3 linked regions of the Caenorhabditis elegans genome follow. The protein of the gene in region 2 purifies or fractionates together with the protein of the main gene of each other region. This does not show direct contact. Each region holds a gene or a part of one and is shown on either strand. Other genes may lie near its edges.

Region 1 (6,752 bases), on a different chromosome or scaffold from region 2:
AGCTCTGAAAAATGGGAAAATTTCGAAAAATTGACTTTTCTTCGTGGGAGGTCTGAAGAAAACGCGTTTTCTGTGAAGATTCAATACGGCAGAGATAAAAATTTCAATTGAAATTGATTTAATAACACTTAATTTAAAAAGAGAGTTTAACTTTTTCGCAAATTATAATTCATATAAGAAGGAAAGAAAATTGGTGGAAATGAGACCGCCCATGAAGAAAAATCATTTTCTTGTCGAAAAATTAACAATTTCATATTTTAGAGTTGGAATTTTAATTTCAAAATTATTTTAATAAATAATTAATCAATATTTACACAAATGTAAAAAATAACACGAAAAATTTAAAAATCCGCTGATTGGCCTAAACTTCGGTGGCCCAAGACCACACACGAAGATAACTAATTTTCTCATTTTCCAGATGAAAAATTAAGAATTTTATATATTAAAATTGAAATTTCAATTTTAAAACTAATTTAATTTGAAAAAAAAATCAAATTATTCTCAAAAAATGCGAAAAAAATCGATGATTGGCCTAAAATATCGGTGGTCCAAGACCACCCACGAAGAAAAGTGACTACAGTAACCTGTACGTCAACACCATCACGTCAAAATGCACAGACCGCGAAATTTGAAAATAGTTTATCTGAATTTGCGAATATATTAATAAAATGACCATTTAAATTAAGTTTTATATAAGAAAAAGCGATAAATTATTTAAAAATTTTAGAAAAAAGTTTTTTTAACCTCCAATTTCTGAAAAAAATATCGAATTTAATAAAAATAAAACATTTATTGACGAGATCAAGAAGAAAAAAAGTTATTTTTAAAAAGCAGCCGATGGATCAAAAATTCCGTTGAATCGATTCGAAATTCTATTATTATATATGGCAGCCTGTGGTACTGGATCATATGCCACGTCGCGTTCCGTAAATACTCCTGTACACTCATTCGGGCACACGTCCTGTAAGAAAATCATGTCAAATAATGTTAAAATCACGTGGTGCCAGGCTGCCCTAACACGGTTTGATCTACAAAAAATGCGGGAATTTTTCGCCCAAATATATGTGACGTCAGCACGTTCTTAACCATGCGAAATCAGTTGAGAACTCTGCGTCTCTGTTCCCGCATTTTTCGTAGATCTAAGTAGATCAAGCCGAAATGAGACACTCTGACACCACGTGTGAAATGAAAATTTTAATACCGTCAATTGAATTTCCGGGCTGCCGAGGTTCGACACAGATGGTCCATTTAATGGCTGGGCGTTGAAGAACTGAAAACTTGCGCGTAAAGTATGGTGCATTGAGAGGGGCGGAGTTAATACATCGGATTTCACACGCAAGTTTTTTTGGCGGGAAAATCGAATTTTTCAGAGTTTCCGTTACGGATTTCTGGCTTCCCTCATAAATTGAAATGGAAGAGTTTGCCGAACTAGGCCATTTTGGCTCGGCCATATCTGGGGTAGATTTACGGCGCGTTGCGTGTCGCGTCGCGGCTCGGTTTTAGTTGTAAAACTAAATGTATTTGTCCGTGTGGAGTACACGGCTTTCCCACGCGTTGTCCGGCAGGATTGTCAATGGAGGGCGAAAAATTCAATGAGGAAGGCCAGAACCCCGTGTTTCCGAAATTTTTTAAAAATCAAAATCGTCATTTTTGTGGGTTTTTTTTCTATTTTTCTCCACGTGGATTACACAGAACACTTGTCAGTAGAGCACTCTTGCATTTCTGGTATACCCGAGAGTTCCTGGATAGCAAAGCCATAGGTTTATTTTTATTTTTCCAAGCAAAAACAGAATCCCAAATTATTATAAAAATGGAGTGAGCAAAAGAGAGAAAGAAGTTAGTTAAAGATCTTGCGGGTACACTTGTTGGCACAAATTTCCACAGTGTGTGGAGCAGCATTGTGATATCCAATTGATCCGTCTTCGATGGATCCTTCGGTGACGAACTGTAACAGGGTGTTATGAGGAGGTAGGTGGACAGGTTACGGTAGAAGTGGGGGGGGGGGGGGGGAAGTGATATTTTTTGTCAACTTACATTCCATGTTGTGCATGTGGAGAGGGAGCCAACTGGGCGAGCAAATCGAGCCACGAGGGTGTTGCCTGAAACATAATTTGATAATAAATTTGCGCGTGAAATATGGTGTTTTGGAGTGAAGAGACAGCTATGACCTGATACATCAGAATTTACGCGCAAATTCAAATATTGAAGTTTTGCGCGTGAAATTTGATGCATTGTAGCCGGTGTTTGTACATTTTGGCGATAACGATTCAATACATCAGATTCTACGCGCAAATTTAAATTGGCGGATGAAATTAAAAAAAAATTGCGCGTTAAATTTGATGTATTGCCGCCGACAGTTTTAAATTAAAGGTATTACTGGAACACTAAATTTCGAAAATGCGTATTGCGTAACATATTTGACGCGCAAAATATCTCGTAGCGAAAACTACAGTAATTGTTTATCCGACTACTGTAGCGCTTTTGTCGATTTACGGGAACTCGATTTTTGAATGGATCGATCGATAGAATTTTAAAATTAAGCATAAAAATGACAAAAAAAAATCGAGATCCTGTAAATCGACAAAAGCGCTACAGTAGTCAGATAAACAATTACTGTAGTTTTCGCTGCGAGATATTTTGCGCGTCAAATAAGTTGCACAGTACGCATTCTCGACAGTAAGTGTCCCCGTAATAATCTTGGTCAGAACAAGACAAGGCATGGCCTAGAAAAAGACACCTTGGCCTAGTTTTTGATTTTCTAGGCCACGGCGTACTAAACTCACTGTTATAATCGAGAGATTGAAGAGTGACAGATGGAGAAGCATCGAGTGCAGGTGCTCCGTATCCCTGAGTCGTTCCAGTCACAAGGCTTGGCTTAAAGTCTACCACTTGGAAAATGACAACGATTAGATCGCTCTGCAAATTGGAGTTTGTAGTTTTTGTAGTTTGTAGGGGAAAGTAATATTACATACCATATCAGGTCCAAATCCAACTGCTGACCATTCATTGTTTCCAACGTTTTTTGTGGTAACTTCGACAGTTAATTCTCCATCCACAACCTGAAAACATTATATCTTACGCGCAATTTTTTTTTCAAGGAATCACTGCACAAGACACAGGGCCTGCAAACTATTTAGTATTGATATCAGAAACCAGATTTGTTCAGAGAAAAAAAAACCCTAATATTTTTGCGCAGTTTTCACTTTGGCCTGATAAAATCTGATAAAATGACCTTGAGTGTGGCCGAGAAAAAAAAAAGACTCGGCCACCGTATTTTTTGGGGGGTAGGGTAAAGCTGCCTACTTCATGCCTACCTACCAGTTATTTTCTGCCATTTTAAGGAAAAAAAAATTTTTGGCTTAAAATTTCCAGTCGAAATTTTTTTCTAAGTTTTAGTTTTTTCTGAAATTTCACAATTTCAACATTTCAAAAAATGTTTCTTGTAGCCTTTCAGATTTTTTGCAGAAAAAATCAAAAATTACCTCCAAAGTGTTAGGATGGTCATTGTTTTAGGCGAAAAAATTGACTGAAAAGTTTTGAAATTTTTCAAAAAAAAGTATTTTTTAAAATTTTTTCAGATAAAATGAAAATTGTTTCAATGTCATTGAAACATCACAATAACGATATTATTCTCAAAAAGCACATTTTAAGGTATATTTTATTTTTAATTAATTCTTTTAAAAAAACATTTTCAGTTTTTCTAACGTTTCCCTAAAGTTTCATGCCTTTTTCTTTTTTCTAGTTTTTCAATAAATATATTAAGGGAACACTAAAATTCTTAGAATGCGTATTGCACAACATATTTGACGCGCAAAATATCAAAACTACAGTAATTCTTTAAATGACTACTGTAGGTCGATTTACAGGCTCGATTTTCGAAATGATTTTTTTTTTTCGAAAAGTTACATCATTTCAATAATTTACATTTTTCAATAAATTAAAAAATTGAGCCCGTAAATCGACACAAGCGCTACAGTAGCCACTTAAAGGATTACTGTAGTTTTGATATTTTTCGCGTGAAATATGTTGCGCAGTACGCATTCTCAGAATTTTGTGTACCCATAATAGTTGTTCAAAACGATTGGCACCAAGAATCAGTTTAAACAAACCACTTGAGTTGTGCTCAAACAAAATGACTCACCTGCCACCGAGCACTAATATCTCCACTTTTAGCTGTGCATTTAGCTGATTGTGCTCCAAGAATAGCTAGAGAAACACAAAGTGTACCCAACAAGAAGCCGAACATTCTCTGAAATTGGGGAAATATGTTTAAGAAATGAGGAGAGGTGATGGGTTTTGGACTGGTTGGCAGGGATTGTTGGCAAATAATGGAAGGAAAAGTAAGAAAACAAATAGAAGAAGATTGAAGAGAGAGAGAAAAAAGGAAAAAGAAAGAAAATATTGTAAATGAGGAAGCAATTGAAGACATAAGTCGTCTATTAATGACGAATGATAAACCAGATTCGACCCCAAACGACCCGAGTTTTTGTTTCGAGAATTATAGTGTTAGAATATGAGAGAAAGAGAGAAAGAGAGAGTGAATTGTAATATAGATGAAGAGATGAAGACGTTTATCAAGAAACTGAAGGAAAAAAGTTGACTTGGGATTATTATAGTAGTCCCGAAAAAAACTAACAACGAAAAACCGGGAAAAATTGATGGAGAAAAATTGGCAAATTTCCGGAATTAAAATTTGTTTTATTTTTATTTTTGGCAAACTGTCGATTTGCCGAAAAACGGCAAATCGGAAAATTGCCGGAAAAGCGGCAAATTTCCGGATTCGAAAATTCCGGCCAATCGGTGAATCAACATTTTCGGCAAATTCACAGCAAATCGGAAAATTGCCGGAATTGAAATTTCCGGTAAATCGTCGTTTCCGGAATTTCCTGCAAATTGGGAATTTGACAAATTTCTGGCAAATCGCCGGAATTGAAATTTTTGGCAAATCGGCAATTCGGCAAGTTGCCGGAATTGAAATTTCCGGTAAATTGTCGTTTCCCAAATTTCTGGCAAATCAGCAAATTGCCAGAATTGAAAATTCCGGCAAATCGGCAAATCGCCGGAATTACAATTTCCGGTAAATCGGCATTTCCGGCAAATTGGCAAATCGGCATTTCTGGCAAATTTCCGGCAAATCGGCATTTCCGGCAAATTGGCAAATTGCCAGAATCGAAATTTCCGGCAAATCGGCAATTCCGCAAATTGCTGGAACTGATTTTTTTTATTTTTGACAAACTGCTGATTTGCCGAATTTGCCGAAAAAACAGCAAATCGGAATAATTCGAAAAAAATGTTTTAAAAATTAACAGAACATTTTACAATTTTCTAATTCTAAAAAGGAATTTTGAAAAGGAAAAAAATTTTTTTTTTCTCGGAATATATTGGAAAATCGAAAAAATTTAGGTTTTCTATTTTAAATTCGAGCGCAAACCAAGGCTGCGCCGACCAATCAGCACATTTTGTCATTCGCTGATTGGTCAGCGCTTTCCTCATTTGCGCGCGCACGTGGTGCCAGAGTGTCTCATTTCGGTTTGATCTACATAGATCTACAAAATATGTGGGAGAAGAGACGCAGAGTTCTCAACTGATTTCGCATGGTTAAGAATGTGCTAACGTCACTTTTTTCCGGGCAAAAAATTCCCGCATTTTTTGTAGATCAAGCCTTTATGGGACAGCCTGGCACCACGTGTACTAAATGAAATTTTTTGAGAAATAAACCGCTTAAAATAACCAGGAAAACGACCTACTTCTCCATTTTTCTCTGGCTTACAGAGATCACGACCAAAATTCGTTTAGAAAGAATAAAGAACAGTTTTGGGGATGAACAGGTCGCCGTAGCAGTGATCTTATCATATTGTGGGTGAAAAAAAATGATTAAGTGACGTTTCAGGGTCATTGGCAGAAGGAAGAATTGGAAAAAAATAGGTTGATCAAAAGATGACGCTGACTTTGGCGAAGTTCCTTTAGTCATTTTTTGCCGATTTGCCGGATATTTTATTTCGGGCTAATTGCCGATAAGAAAAAAAAAATTATTTTAAAGTTGGGATCGAGATATTTATAGTAAATCGTTGAGACATATTTAGTTCATCAGGGGTAAACAGAAAGAAATTGTTGATTTTAGGGGTGTTTCAATGAAGAGCAATGGAGCATTGAAACAACTAATGACTCACTTTTGTACAATTTATAAATTGGTGTCAGGATGTCCCATCACGGGTGATCTCCAAAAATGCGGGAATTTTTTGCCCGAAAAAAAGTGGCGTCAGCATACAAAATCAGTTGAGAATTCTGCGTCTCAACATCCGCATGTTTTGTAGATTTACGTAGATCAAACCAGAGGTAAACGATTTTTTACCGGCAAATCGGCGAATCGCAGGAATTGAAAATTTCCGGCAAAACGGAAACTGGCAAATTGCCGGAATAGAACATTTCTGGCAAATCGGCAAACTGCCAAACTTGAAAATTTCCGAAAAATTTTCAAAATGACGGAAATAAAATTTCAGGCAAATCGGAAAATTGCCGAAATTAAAATTTCAGGCAAATCGGCAAAATGCCGGAATTGAAAATTTACGGCAAATCGGCAAATTGGCATATTACCAAAATTTAAATATTCCGGCAAATCGGAAAATTCCCGGAATCGTCAATTTGTGGCAAATCAGCAAATTGCCAAAATTGAAAATTTCCGAAAAATTTTCAGATTGACGAAAATAAAATTTCAGGCAAATCGGAAAATTGCCGGAATTGAAAATTTACGG
Region 2 (7,369 bases):
ATTTCATCTCGACTTCCAAATCAAAACTACGTTATTTGAAATAAAACGTTCAAAAAAATTGCTGAGCTTTCTGGAAGCTTTTTAGAAATTGTATTTTATTTAAAAAGAATCTGAAACTTTTGCAAAAAAAGGTTTTTTTTGAAAACACGTTATATTGTTCTTCCCAGAAAGGGTGAGAATTTTTACTTCAAGAAGTACTCTTTTTTATAGTTGCATGGAACGTGTTCAGTACAAAGGATTGTTTTTCTTTTTTTAGATTCAGAAATCCAGACTAAGCTCAAAATTTTCGAAACAAAAATAACAAACCAGCGTAAAGTCCTCGAATTCCGTCCAATTTATAAGTATCCTTGAGACAAACAATCCAATTTGAATAGAGATTCGGGAATGTTTGTACTTTTACTTTAACTGTATCTAATGGTTGTCCAGCATACACGTTGGCAATTCCACCAGCTGTTCCAGCCAATAAATCGATAATTCCATCTTTAAAATGATTGGCTGAAGCATCACCCGTTGCAGTTGTAGGTTCACCGCTTTCATGCATATTTCTATCTATTTTATTTTCTGAAATAACAAAAATTGGAAGAAATGGTTTTGAAAATTTCCAGAAAATTTAGATCACGATCATTTTTTCTTGTTTGCTAAATAGCTGGTTTTGTTGGTTTTTCGGACCAAAAAACAAAAAATTTAACTTTTGAGTCGTGAGGAGGAAAACAAAACGACAATTTCTTTTGGTTTTGGGAAGTTAAATTTTTTGTGACTTTGTGATCACGATGAGCACAATAAAGGAGGATTTAAATTTCCTCTGTTTAGAAAATAAAACATTGAATCTGTATAAACTTCAAAATATATAACCATGAGGTTGAAAATAAAACCAAGAAGAAAAAAAAATAAATTTCAACGAAAAAAAAGTGAAGAAATTGTATTTATTGCAACTTGCAATGGTGACGGGGATCGGGAGTGAAATATATTGATATAACAGAGAAAGCTGATTGATATTATTGAACTGGGAATTGAAAGGTGGAAGGGAGAGAAAATTGTTAATAAATACGTCAAAAATCAAATAAAACTCGGATAAAAGGAAGAATGAAAAAGAGAAAAGAGAAAAAAGGCCAGAGATCCACAGAGACAAAAAAATCTTAAAAACGGGATGGGAAAGTTTGCATCACCTTTTGAAACAAAACAACGTCATCTGAGAATGACCACGTGACAAGTGATAATGTGATGTGATCTGACACCGTCGATCATCTTTAATCTTTTGTATGAACATTCTTTACACGGTATGAAATGAAATCAAAAGTTATAATTAGTGATGAGAATCACAACGATATTTTGGATAATGAAGAAATGCTACGAAAATGGGAAATATGGTTAATTCGAAATACAGAAAATTAAAGACTTTCTAGATGATTCGGGCTTACGACACCGACAAAATATAAGTTTTAATTATGCCCAATGAGAAGAAAATACATTTTACAGCTACTTTTCCGGAAACAAAACTATGAATTATGACACTTTTAATCTTCTAGAATCAAATAGTTGCGAGTAACTTCTTCGAAACAATCTCGTAAACCATTCGCTTTCTGTAGTATGGCATATTTTTCTGCGTGAAGCGAGGCGTCGTTCGTCGAGATGCCCATTCACCGAATTGGCATGAGAATACTCCACAGTCACTGCCATTTTGTTGACGAGGAATGTCCTAAACAAGATGATTATCGCGTGTTGAAGATCTTTTTGTGTGTGTAATTTCAGAAGTATTACTGGTTGTTTTAGAGAGCATAGATATCAAAAAAAGAGTGATTGAGCCAAACATCTGGACTTCTAAAAAAAAACTTTTTTTCAGAAATAAATTTAAAGTAAAAATCCTTTTTTTTATTTAATTTTTTTAAAATTCAATATACCGTCATCTGTTGAATTGTCCATCCAGAAAAGTTCATTGCTGTCTTTTTCTTATCCAATGATTCAGCTTCCAAGTAACCTCTGAAATATAAAATATTTATTGATATATTCTCTGTGAGTTTTTTAAATAAAAACCAAAAACACTCAAAAAACTAACCGCAATGCTGGCAAAACGGCTGTATTTCCATCATAAAGAGAGTCATAAAACTCAATCTTCTTTTCGCCCATATCGATAACAGCCATACACCAATGCATTCCAAGATGAACTGGCACCAAAACGATGTCGAATGCAAAGATATCGACTTTTCTTGTCCATCGTTTCACACTCGCGTATCCTTTTGAAACAATATTGGAATAAAAGAATGTGTTGAATGCATAGATCTTTGGATATTTCGAATCGCCATTGCTCCGATCACAAATCAATTGAAGATAGAAATTGATGATCTCATCATTCAGCCAATGCAATCCACTCAATGTTGCAAGATCTTTTTTACAGATCTGAATGCTGAATGCATCCACAAATTGTTCATTTGGATTCCCTCCGCTCCATGCTCTTTCTACAAGAGCATCAGCAGCATCAGGTAAAGCCATAAAATCATCAACTTTCTTCTTCTCCACCTTCGGACGAATAGCGATTCCTTGCAATTCAAGTCTCTTCCGAACATCTTCCAATCGATCACCTCTTGTTTGAGAGCGATGTCCTTCTCGTATCCGAGCCTCTTCTAGAAGTTTATCCTCCTTCTGCTTCGACAATTGATAAGAATTCTGATATCTCTGCGGTCCTCGATATGCGGAACCGATTCCAAGGCTATTAATTTGCGAGAGAATATCATTGAGTTTCCTGTATGAATCAGATTCCGACGAATTTGATCGGGCGTGTTGGCGGTAACTTAAATTTATATTATTGCTTGAATTGATGAAAAACTTAAATAAATACCTTGAAGAAGTGGACTCTTCGCTATCAATGATGATGGATGGTTCTCTTGATAAGAGTGAAGGGGTGTTGCTTCGGGATCCTCCCAATTCTGCGATTTTCTGAAGAAAAAAGATCAGAAAGTTTTAAATAACAGTAATATCCTGAACATACATTCTTCGCTCTGGCTAATATGTCAGTTGATGATGTTCTCTGCATTTTCTTCGGTTTTTTTTCAACAATTCCAGAAATCGCTTTAGCTTCGTATTGTCCACTTGCAACAACTCCTTGAAGAAGTCGATCGCGAGATGACAGGTGATTTTTTATCTGAAATAATTAAACCTTAAAAATAAATAATTATCTATAAAAACAGTGGACCGAAATTAATTCTAAATAACAAAATCGTCTAATGTATCCGTTCCAAAATCAATTTTAATGTTAAAAAATTGAATCTTGTAGGTTTTGCGGACCATTTGGGAAGAAAAATCTTCCAAAATGGTTTTTAAAAAAACCTATAAAGTTTAATAATAAGAAGTTTTTGGCATTTAGAATTAATTTCTGAAGCTTCAGTTTGATACACTGAAAATTGTAATTTCTCACATTAGTTTCTCTGCTTCATAAAGAAATAATTACCTTCTTTAAATCAATAATCGTGTTCATTTTCCGAACAGAAGTTGAGTGCTTAAATTGATGTCTAACAGGGACCCGTCTCAAAACCTCTGGCTTTTTAGCAGAATTCCGTCTCCAATAATCACGAACATTATTTGATGTGTAATTTGATAATGATGATAAGCTCGGAGTAATCGGACGACTAACACTGTCATCGGGTGTCGGTGAGATAAATTCTTTGCTCCTAGAGTCAGAAATAACTGATACATCGTCTGGTGTGTCTGGATTGTCGTTGAGAAAGATCAACTAAAGTTTGATAATTTATTATAATAGAATTATTCGAATACTAATACCTCATTCTGAAATCGTCTTGCTTCTTGCAATTGCTTATTTGGTGTCTTGACTACTTTCTCGAAAAGAACGTCTGGTTCCTCATCATCCTGTTGTACTTCAAATGACTTTTCCAAATTTTTTGGCGACTTTGGGGAAGATGATAAGGTGAGCACTAAATCTCCTTGAACTTCTTGTTTTTCTTCGTCATTCCGAATTTCAACGTTTTTTTGAACATGTTTCTCAATGATAACTTCATTTTCCTCTGATCCAGCATTGGCTCTCACAGGTGCATCTTCGTTCAGAAAAATCATATATTTCTTGTTCTGTAACAACTGTGGTCATGTTTAGTTAGGGGGGGGGGGGGGGGGGTTTATATACCGTATATTCTCTATTAGTGCTGCATCTCCAGTAGTACTGCAGTCTCTAATAGTGCTGCATTCAAAAAGGGTCCGAAAAATAGTGCTGCAGTCTCTATTAGTGCTGCACCCCATTTTCTATTGAAAGAGTCACTTGACAGTTTCGATATTTTTGGGTATTTTTTTGTATATTTTATGATTTTTTGATAATTTAGGAAAGTAATTGAATTATTGGGTCTTTTTTTTACAAAAGTTCGCAATTTTTATGAATTTCTGCTTAAAATATGAGGTTTTGTGATTAAAAACTAGTGATCTATAATTGAAAATAGCCGTTCGAAAATTAATGCTGCAGTCTCCAGTAGTACTGCAGTCTCTAATAGTGCTGCATTAAAAAAGGGCCTGGAAATTAGTGCTGCATGCAGCACTAATAGAGAATATACGGTATTTGCTGAACTTAACTCCGAAAGTTAATTTATTCTCAAAATATACCTCAGCAACTCTCCTCGTCGTTCCTTCCACTATAATTTCATCATCCTCTTGAACTTGAACTTCGCCCGAAACTTCAGTTTTCTCCTTTTCTCCCGAATTACTGCTTACGAACATTCCGAAGAAGGTATTGAAAAGCCCTGAAATGTTGAAGATCGCTATTTCAAATTTATACTTTTATGGATCAAGGAAAAGGATTCACTCACCACCCAATCCTTGAGATTTCGTTTTTCTGGTTCTTTTTGTTGGCGACTGCTCTTTTTCTTCGTTTGTAACAGCTTGATCGGTTAACCAATGTCGTTTTCTTGCTAAATATTTTAATTAATTTCAGCTTATTTTTCATTCACTTCTCCTACATTGAGAGTCTTTGTCTGATAAATCAGACCTACGTGACATTCCGTTTCTCTTTCAATCGAATATCGTCTATTTTTGATGTTCCAGATTCAAGTAGCTATCCTGAAATATAGTTTTTAGCTGCTTTAAAAGATTTTTGCTATAGTAAATACTATCACAAAGGGCAACATTTTAAGTTTTTCAGCCAAAATAAAGAAGGCAATTAACCTCTAGGCAGTACGTAATCATTCAATTATTGCATAAATTACTTTTAATAAAAGAATAGATGAATGGGATAGAAGCGGAGGAGATTGGCTGCAGATCATTTTTGAATGAAATGAATAAAATTTGGGGAATCTGGAGAAAAGTTGAACTGTTAAAAAGATAAATGTGAACAAAATAAAATCCAATAGATAAAAATAGAAAGAGATCTCACCACAGGAAGACAGCCAATCAACTCTTTTTTTTTTGTTGATTCACAGTGAAAAGGAGAATTTTTGGAATCGATAATATATGGTAACGAGAGATGGAGAAAGAATAATAGTTTGTCAGCTTTTCTATAGATGGGAATATTTTCAACTTGACTGAACAATCCGGAATACAAAAAAAACAAGGAAACGAAACGGGAAAAATGTGGTGAAATTTTGAATAACTTAGTAATAAATGGTAATAAAAACAATTAGAAAGAGAATACTCGGAGACTCTTATCCAATGAACACGTCACCAATGAACGAGCATTTTCTCCGAATCTAACTCCAGTGACTGGTCCAGAATGATCAGAAAGTGATACAACTTCACTCCAGCTCTTCACATGCAAAACTTGAACTTTTTGGCCACCAATTCCTAGGAATGTTCCAGTCATGTCGAAGGACAGGGAGTTGATCTGAAAAAATTATATTTTTTCATTAAACATTTGCTTAACAATTTCTTACCGGTTGTTTCTCTTCGTTAGCGAAAGTTTTCAGATTCTTCAATTTTCTAAGATCCCATAATTTGACCTCTCCATCCTCTGATCCCGTAGCCAAATAATATCCGTTTTCAGAAAACGCAATCGAACGAACGGCAGCAGTATGTCCCGGGAATGCAGCAGCCACGGTTTGATTCTTCAAATCCCAAATCTTCACAACGGCATCCGCAGCTCCAGTTCCAAAAATAAGACCATCAGGATGGAACTCGATGGAATGAACGGCAATTTGTGATCCTGGTTCAACTGAAACCTTGCAAAGCGATTTTCCGGAACGAATGTCGGAGAATGCCCAGTAAGAATCATCAGAAGCGGAGAGAATGTAATCACCGGATGCATTGAGGGAGATATCTGTAAAACATTGTTTGTTCAATAGAAGAATTACAGCTAGCGAATTTTTTTCAAATATCTCACCTGTAACGGGTGCCTGATGGACATCAATAATAGCCTTCGAAGACGAATCAGTTGCACTCCAGACTCTAATATGTGAATCAGCAGAAGCAGAGATTGCAGTAATATTATCCGGATGCAAAACAACTGCGTTGATCTTCTTGTTATGCCCCTTGAATGTTTGCATAACCTGTTCCTTTTCATAGTCATACAAGACAACGGTTTTATCAATTCCTCCGGTAAGTGACAAATTTCCCTTGATATCCAATGCAGTAATTCCAGGAGTTCCAGTCGAATGAATTCCAGTGTGAGATGCTGTCTGTTTCAGCTCGGCGAGCTCTTCTGTTTTGGCAAGTCCTTCAGGAAGATTTTTTCCTCGTTGTTTACGTTCAGCAGTCAGACTCTTTGATTTCTCTTCAAGTTTTGCCAGAATTGCCTCACTAAGACCTTGTTGATCTTCAGACTCGTCAATGCTGACATCATCGTCAACTTTCGCCGATGTGTGTGGTTTCAAAGTAGACAATGCTTCTCTAGCAGCGGTCAATTCTTTGGAGAGGCGGGAAATAACACGACAAGCGGCATCGTGTTGGTACAGAGAGTGAGAAAGTTCTTGACGAGCAATTTGGAGTTGTTGTCGGAGAGAGAAGCTGTTGAGCATTACTGTATCCCACTCGTCTTGAAGCATTTTTAGTAGAGATGGGATGGATGTTCCAGAGACATTGCGTGGTGCTGATCCAGTGCCGCCACTTTTCAATGAAACGAGCTAAAAAATGAATTTTAGAAATTATTATTTTGTTTTTTCAATGAATTATCATTTCGAAGTTTCACGTCAGTGAAGATAATTGCAAGGTTGACAAACCTGGTCTTCAGAAAGCTCTCCATGGCTGATCGGATCTGTTCCGTTTTCGGCAATGAATTTAACGATCAGCCGACGATCAAAGATGTGCCCTGAGACTTGAGAGACGACTGGGTCTTCGGTCAGTTCACCACTGATTCCGCACACGAAAGACATCTCCTGAAAGTAGCAAAATATACACGAAACCGCTTGATTGACGTGGGACATAAACGAAGAAAGTTTCAATGCGAATT
Region 3 (5,832 bases), on a different chromosome or scaffold from region 2:
TTTCAATAAGGTACAGCAAAGATAAGATGCATGTACCTTTAAATGTGAAGTACGGTCGTATACGGTGCCCGGTCTCGACACGACAATTTTTTTTTCAATCAATTTTTACGGTTGTGCGCCTTTAAAGAATACTGTAATTTCGAACTATTGTAGCTGTGGAATTTTCCACCAATTTTTCAGTTTTTCTCAAAGTCGTGTGTTTTTTTAATCGAAAAGCTATGAAAACTCCTCAGAAAAGAGTAGTTTGAAAATACAGTACTCTTTAAAGGCGCAAACCCTTTTGTGTTCGACAAAAATTTTCGTGTCGAGACCGGCTACCGTATTTTTGGTGCGAAATTTCGCGTCTGGATAATAAGAGAAACACTAATTTTCTTTGATTTTGTGAAAATTAGAAAAGAAAAACATTTTTTTCCGGTTTTTGGCTTTAAGCAAACACTTAAAACGGAACTTCTCGTTTTTTTTTTGGAAAAAAAAATTAAAAATCGGAGAGGAACTTCAAACCAATCAGCGCCTGGCTCCGCCCACCTTCGCTGATTGGTTTGGAATTTTTGGCCCTAAAAATGACACAATTTCGTATAAAATACAGTTTCTTTTTTTTCAGAAAATGTTCGCTGAACTCGAGAACCAACAAAATCTAGACCACCTGTACGGAAAAATGTTCGACGATCCAAATAAAGCCGATTGGATAATGATTGATGTCAAAAAGTTCACTGAAAACCACCTTCGCATGCAATATTTCCGTAAAATACGCGAAGAGCTACACAAAAGATTCACCAATCAGCATATCATTCGTGCCGTTTTTTGCTTTTTCCAATTTTTTGAGTATTATGTGACAGTTTGTGTTGATGTGAGTTTATTCCGAGAAATTGAAAACTTCTCGATTTACCTGAATTTTTTACTTGAATCGCCGCGCTTTTGTCTCTAAACTCCGCCCATAAAACCGTGCCGCACTGTTTTTTTTTCTAATTTTCAATTAAGAATACGGTCAGCAATGTTAAACAATTATTGAAAATTAGAAAAAAAAAACAGGAATCTGTGTCGAAATTGAAAAAACCAGAGTGCGGCACGGTTTTTATAGGCGGAACTTAGAGACAAAAGCGCGAGAATTCAAATTAGGCGTAAAAAATCCGAATTTTTTCGTTTTTTTTTCTTTTTTGGCATTTGGGACTAGTTTTTGAGTATTTTAAATTAAAATCCTTTCAAAAAATTAAAATTAAATTTCCAGGAGTCCACCGACAACTACATTCTGCTAATGAACAAAGTTTTGGAAATGTCCATCAAATTGTTGCCACTTTATATTGTTCATTGTTGATCATGCTCGCCCCTCCAATGTTAAGAATTATTTATTGAAATCATCCCGTTTTATTTACAATAAAATTATGCGATAGCTCGTTGTTTCGGTACGAAATTATCATAGTACATCGTTATGGCCTCCATCATCAGGTTCTCGGTGCAACGGGGTTCAGTGCCGACCACTTGAGCTGAAAAAGAGTTGATTTTGTTTTGGAAAAATTCCGGCAATTTTTGGAAAATTGCCGAATTCGCCGGAAATTTCATTTTCTTTTCGCGGCTCAAAAATTTCTTGGAGAATGGAAGAACTGCCGGTGTAGTCCTCGAGGAGGTTTTTTTTTTCAAAATTTTAAAAATCAGTTTTCAGCAAAAATGATCGATTTTGGAAAAAAAATTTTTTTTTTGAAAATCGAGAAATTTAAAGAACATTTATTTCCAAAAAAAATTAAGAAACTACCGGAGATTATTGAAAATTTTAATTTTTTCTAAAAATTAAAAAAAAAACTTTAAATTTTCGATTAGTACGATTTTTCGGAAATTTTTTTCAAATTTTTGAGAAATTCTTTCTGATAAATCTGCATTTTTTTCTGAAAGTTTTATTTTCTAGAAAATCCAAAAAAAAATTTCAGATTTTTTGGTAAAAAATTCAAATTTTCGATAATATCCGGCCATTTTTTTTCAAAGAAATGTGTTTTTTTAAAATAAAAATTGAATCTTCATTAAATTTTTTCTAATTTTCCTTTTTTAAACTGAAAAGCCTAAAATGGTCCAAAAATGAAAAAAATCGAGTCAAAAACTGAAAATTTACTGTAGAATAAAATTAAAACTTCTCCTCGGGGAGTACACAGCGATTCTACCATTTTTTGAAAATTAGGGAGCTCAGAAAAATAAGAAAAATAAGAAAAATCGATAATTTTCGATTTTTCGCCAAAATTCCAATTTTTCAATAATTTCAGTTTTTTTAAAAATGTTTTTTGAAAGAAATTTCTCAATTTTTCCAGTTTTTTCGATTTTTCCTACTTAAAAAGTTCGAAAAATTAGGAATTTTCGATTTTCCGTCAAAATTCCAATTTTTCAATCATCACAGGCAATTTTTGTGCTTTTAAAAACGTTTTTTTTCCAGTTTTTCGATTTTCCGGCTCTCAAAAAAATTAGGAAAATTTCAAATTTTCGCTTTTTCGACGGCATACTGACCAGGATTCCCGCCGATCGTTGAGTACGGTGGAAAAAGTGCGTCCGCTGGAACTACAGTATCCGGAAGAACCCTCGAACATTCTCGAATCACACAACCATTTCCGAGCACCGCACGAGCTCCAAGATGTACAAATGCGTAGATTTGAGCGGCATTGACGACACATTCTTCTTCAATAAATACATAATCACCAATCATAACGTTGCACATTGTTGGTTTTTTGCTGAATATTTTCATGCATGGACGGATGTTACATCGAGACTTTAGAACACAATATTTTCCAATTTTAACTGTCGCCAGATCACCGCGAATTGTCACTCCTTCCTCGATTATTGTCTGCAAAATTTCACTTTTTTTGATGTTTCAAATCAGGGGTGGGCGGCTATTTATTTTTGGCAGATTGCCGGTGTACCAAAATTGCCGGTTTGCCGAATTTGCCGGAAATTTTAGATTTTGGCAACTTGACAGTTTACCGAATTTGCCAAAAATTAGAATTTTTGGGAAATTGCCGGTTTGCCGGAAATTTTAAATTTTTACAAATTGCCGGTTTGTCGTTTGCCGAAAATTTCAATTTTTGACAAATTGCTTATTTGCCGGAAAATTTCAATTTTTCGAAAATTGCCGGTTTGCCGAATACTTTCATTTTTGGAAAATTGCCGATTTGCCGAAAATTGTAATTTTTGTCAAATTGCCTATTTGCCGGAATTTTTAAATTCCGGCAAATTGCCGGTTTGTCAAGTTTGCCGGAAATTTTCATTTTCGGAAAATTGCCGGTCTGTCGGAAATTTTAATTTTTGGAAAATTGCCGGAAATTTTTTTTTCTCGCAAATTTACGGAAATTTTAATTTTTGGCAAATTGCCAGTGTGCCGGAAGTTTGAATATTTGGCATATTTGCCGGTTTGCCGAATATTCCTAAAATGCTCAATTCCGGCCCACTTGCCGATTTGCCGGAAATTTTCATTTTCGGAAAATTACTGATTTGCCGGAATTTTCATCTTCAGCCGGTTTACCGAATTTTCAAGAAATTTTAATTTTCGCCAAACTGTTGGTAATTTTAAGTTTTGGTAAATTGCCAATTTGCCGATTTGCCGAAAATTTAAATTTTTTCCAAATTGCCGGTTTGGCAAATATGCCAGAAATTTTAAATTCCGGCAAATTGCCGAATTTGCCAAAAAATTTGTATAGCTTATTCCAAAAATCTAGAAAAATTATATTGCGCTATTTTTTTAATTTCTTTTTTTTTTCAAAATACTTGGAAAACACTGAATTTTTTCTAAAAATTTCCAAAAATTCTCACTTTTCCAGCAATTAAAATATTCTGTGTTCCAGCAATTGCATGCTTCTTATTCACTTTATTTCCCGTATGCGTCTTCGCCCATTCCGTCTCATCGTAGTAGACAATTGGAAGATCCATCTGAAAATCAGCGTCTGAAATTTTTCTAGTTTTTTTTTAAATTCAAAAATATCACAAAAGAGTTCTACTTTTTCAAATCGAGCGGAATTTTTCTCCAAAAAGACTACAAAAATAAGGGAATTTATATATAACGGGGGAATAAATTAAAGCAATAGTCATGCAAAAAAACACAATTTAAGAAAAAAAATTGGGGGCGCAGGAATCAAATTTCTTCGAGAATTTTTTCGTTCAAAAGGTTTTAAAAAATTGGTAATTTTTGGAAATAAAAATAATAAGTACATACACGAATCGCCCAGAATAAGATGAAAAAAAGTGAAATGTGTGTTCAAAAATTTCGGGAATTAGAGAGAAAAAAACGTGGAGAAGGGATTAAAATTGGAGAAAATATATAGGGAAAAAATACAAAAAAATGGAGAAAAAAAATTAAGTAAGAGCTCCGAAAACTGGATTGTAACGACAAATCGATGGTCCTCTCTCCATGTATTCGGCCTTTGTGTGTGAAACTTGGTAGAATTCCGACTGAAAATTTGGAATTGATAGTTTTTTTGGTGATTTTTTCACTAAATTTTGGGGGAATTTAATTGATTCTAAATTAAAATTTAAAAAAGTTTCCAAAAAAAATTTCATTTTTCAATTTTTTCCGACTGAAATCTTGGCTATTTTTGTGTTTCAAAAAGTTTCGAAAAATTGCCAAAAAAAAATTAAAAATATAATTTCCGAATAAAATTTTTTTTCAATTTTTTCTCAAAAACTTAAAATTGACTTTTTTGGGAATTTCAAAAAAAAAAATCAAATATTAGATTTTTTTTTGGAAAAAATCGGAAACATTTGTTTTTTTTCGAATTCTACCGATTTTTTTAAAATTTAATTTAAATTCGAAATCTACAGTTTTTTTTCACTAAATTTCGGGAGAATTTAATTTATTCTGAATAAAAATTTTTTAAAAAGTTTCCAAAAAAAAAAACAATTTTCAATTTTTTGAGTTTCAAAAAGTTTTGCAAATTTGAAGAAAAACAAATTAAAAATATAATTTCCGGATAAAACTTAAAATTGACTTTTTTTTGGGAATTTCAAAGAAAAAAAAATCAAAAATTAGATTTTTTTTTTGGAAAAATTAGTTGGCTAGTAAAAATCGATTTTTTTTTGAATTTTCAAAACTTGTTCAGAAATAGTGCTTTATTTATTTCAAAAACCATAGTTTTTCAGTGAAATTTTTTTATTTCTTAAATTCGAAATCTAATTTTTTTTTTTTTGATTTTTTTCACTTTCAAATTTCGGGGGAATTTATGACTTTATTCTGAATAAAAATTCAAAAATTTCCAAAAAAAAAATAAAATTTTCAATTTTTTTCCGACTGAAAATTTGGATATTTTTGAGTTTTAAAAAGTTTTGAAAAATTGCCAAAAAATTAAAAATATAAATTTTTAAAAATTTGTTGAGGTAACTGGAATACAAATTTCAGAAATTTCATTCGAAGCTCTGAATAAAACTTTTTTTTTTAATTTTTCGAATAAAAATCCGAATTTTTGAAATTTTTCTCAAAAAAAATCAATTATTTTTGGGAATTTTACAGAAAAAATCGAAAATTAAATTTTTTTTGTTGGAAAAATTAGTTGGTTAGTAAAAAATAATAAAATCGATTTTTTTAAAAAATTTACGAAATTCAAAAAATATAGTTTTTTTTAGTGAAAAAGTTTAATTTTCATTCAAATTTTCGAATAAATTATTTTCAACGAAAGAATTGATATTTTTTGCAAAAAAAGTACCAAAATTTCGGTCAAAAATGCATTTTCTCGGAAAAAATAGCAATTTTTTGAGATTTTCAAAATTTATGCTCATTTTTTTTAAAAATTTATGCTCAATTTATTAATTTTTAATCAACTTTTCAAAGTTTACCGGAAAAAATGGTTTTTTTCATTAAAAACTGTTTTAAAG

The links.
Region 1: the proteins of ulp-1 (region 2) and Y54E10A.17 fractionate together in Caenorhabditis elegans (co-fractionation; one large-scale study listed by BioGRID). This does not show direct contact.
Region 3: the proteins of ulp-1 (region 2) and dnc-5 fractionate together in Caenorhabditis elegans (co-fractionation; one large-scale study listed by BioGRID). This does not show direct contact.

The regions. Positions count from the first base shown.
Region 1 is NC_003279.8:3,204,298-3,211,049, reverse strand, and holds Y54E10A.17 (DOMON domain-containing protein), read right to left. Parts: upstream 4,289-6,752; 5' UTR 4,247-4,288; coding exon 4,142-4,246; intron 3,060-4,141; coding exon 2,973-3,059; intron 2,917-2,972; coding exon 2,784-2,916; intron 2,100-2,783; coding exon 2,035-2,099; intron 1,946-2,034; coding exon of another isoform or gene 1,838-1,945; exon of another isoform or gene 1,271-1,837; coding exon 1,202-1,270; intron 962-1,201; coding exon 824-961; 3' UTR 778-823; downstream 1-777.
Region 2 is NC_003281.10:5,164,751-5,172,119, forward strand, and holds ulp-1 (Sentrin-specific protease), read right to left. Parts: upstream 5,050-7,369; 5' UTR 4,990-5,049; coding exon 4,950-4,989; intron 4,902-4,949; coding exon 4,800-4,901; intron 4,734-4,799; coding exon 4,597-4,733; intron 4,075-4,596; coding exon 3,772-4,074; intron 3,725-3,771; coding exon 3,443-3,724; intron 3,137-3,442; coding exon 2,984-3,136; intron 2,932-2,983; coding exon 2,834-2,931; intron 2,786-2,833; coding exon 2,054-2,785; intron 1,978-2,053; coding exon 1,899-1,977; intron 1,697-1,898; coding exon 1,529-1,696; 3' UTR 909-1,528; downstream 1-908. Other genes in the region: T10F2.2 (Mitochondrial ornithine transporter 1), read right to left, coding at 307-541; prp-19 (Pre-mRNA-processing factor 19), read right to left, coding at 5,606-5,809, 5,859-6,241, 6,305-7,043, 7,140-7,292. UniProt on the Caenorhabditis elegans protein: Protease that deconjugates smo-1 from targeted proteins and may catalyze the processing of smo-1 to its mature form.
Region 3 is NC_003279.8:2,879,544-2,885,375, forward strand, and holds dnc-5 (Dynactin subunit 5), read right to left. Parts: upstream 3,912-5,832; 5' UTR 3,898-3,911; coding exon 3,781-3,897; intron 2,819-3,780; coding exon 2,485-2,818; intron 1,482-2,484; coding exon 1,378-1,481; 3' UTR 1,333-1,377; downstream 1-1,332. Other genes in the region: Y71F9AL.8 (Myb_DNA-bind_3 domain-containing protein), read left to right, coding at 1-10, 602-847, 1,226-1,312; arx-1 (Actin-related protein 3), read right to left, coding at 4,321-4,416.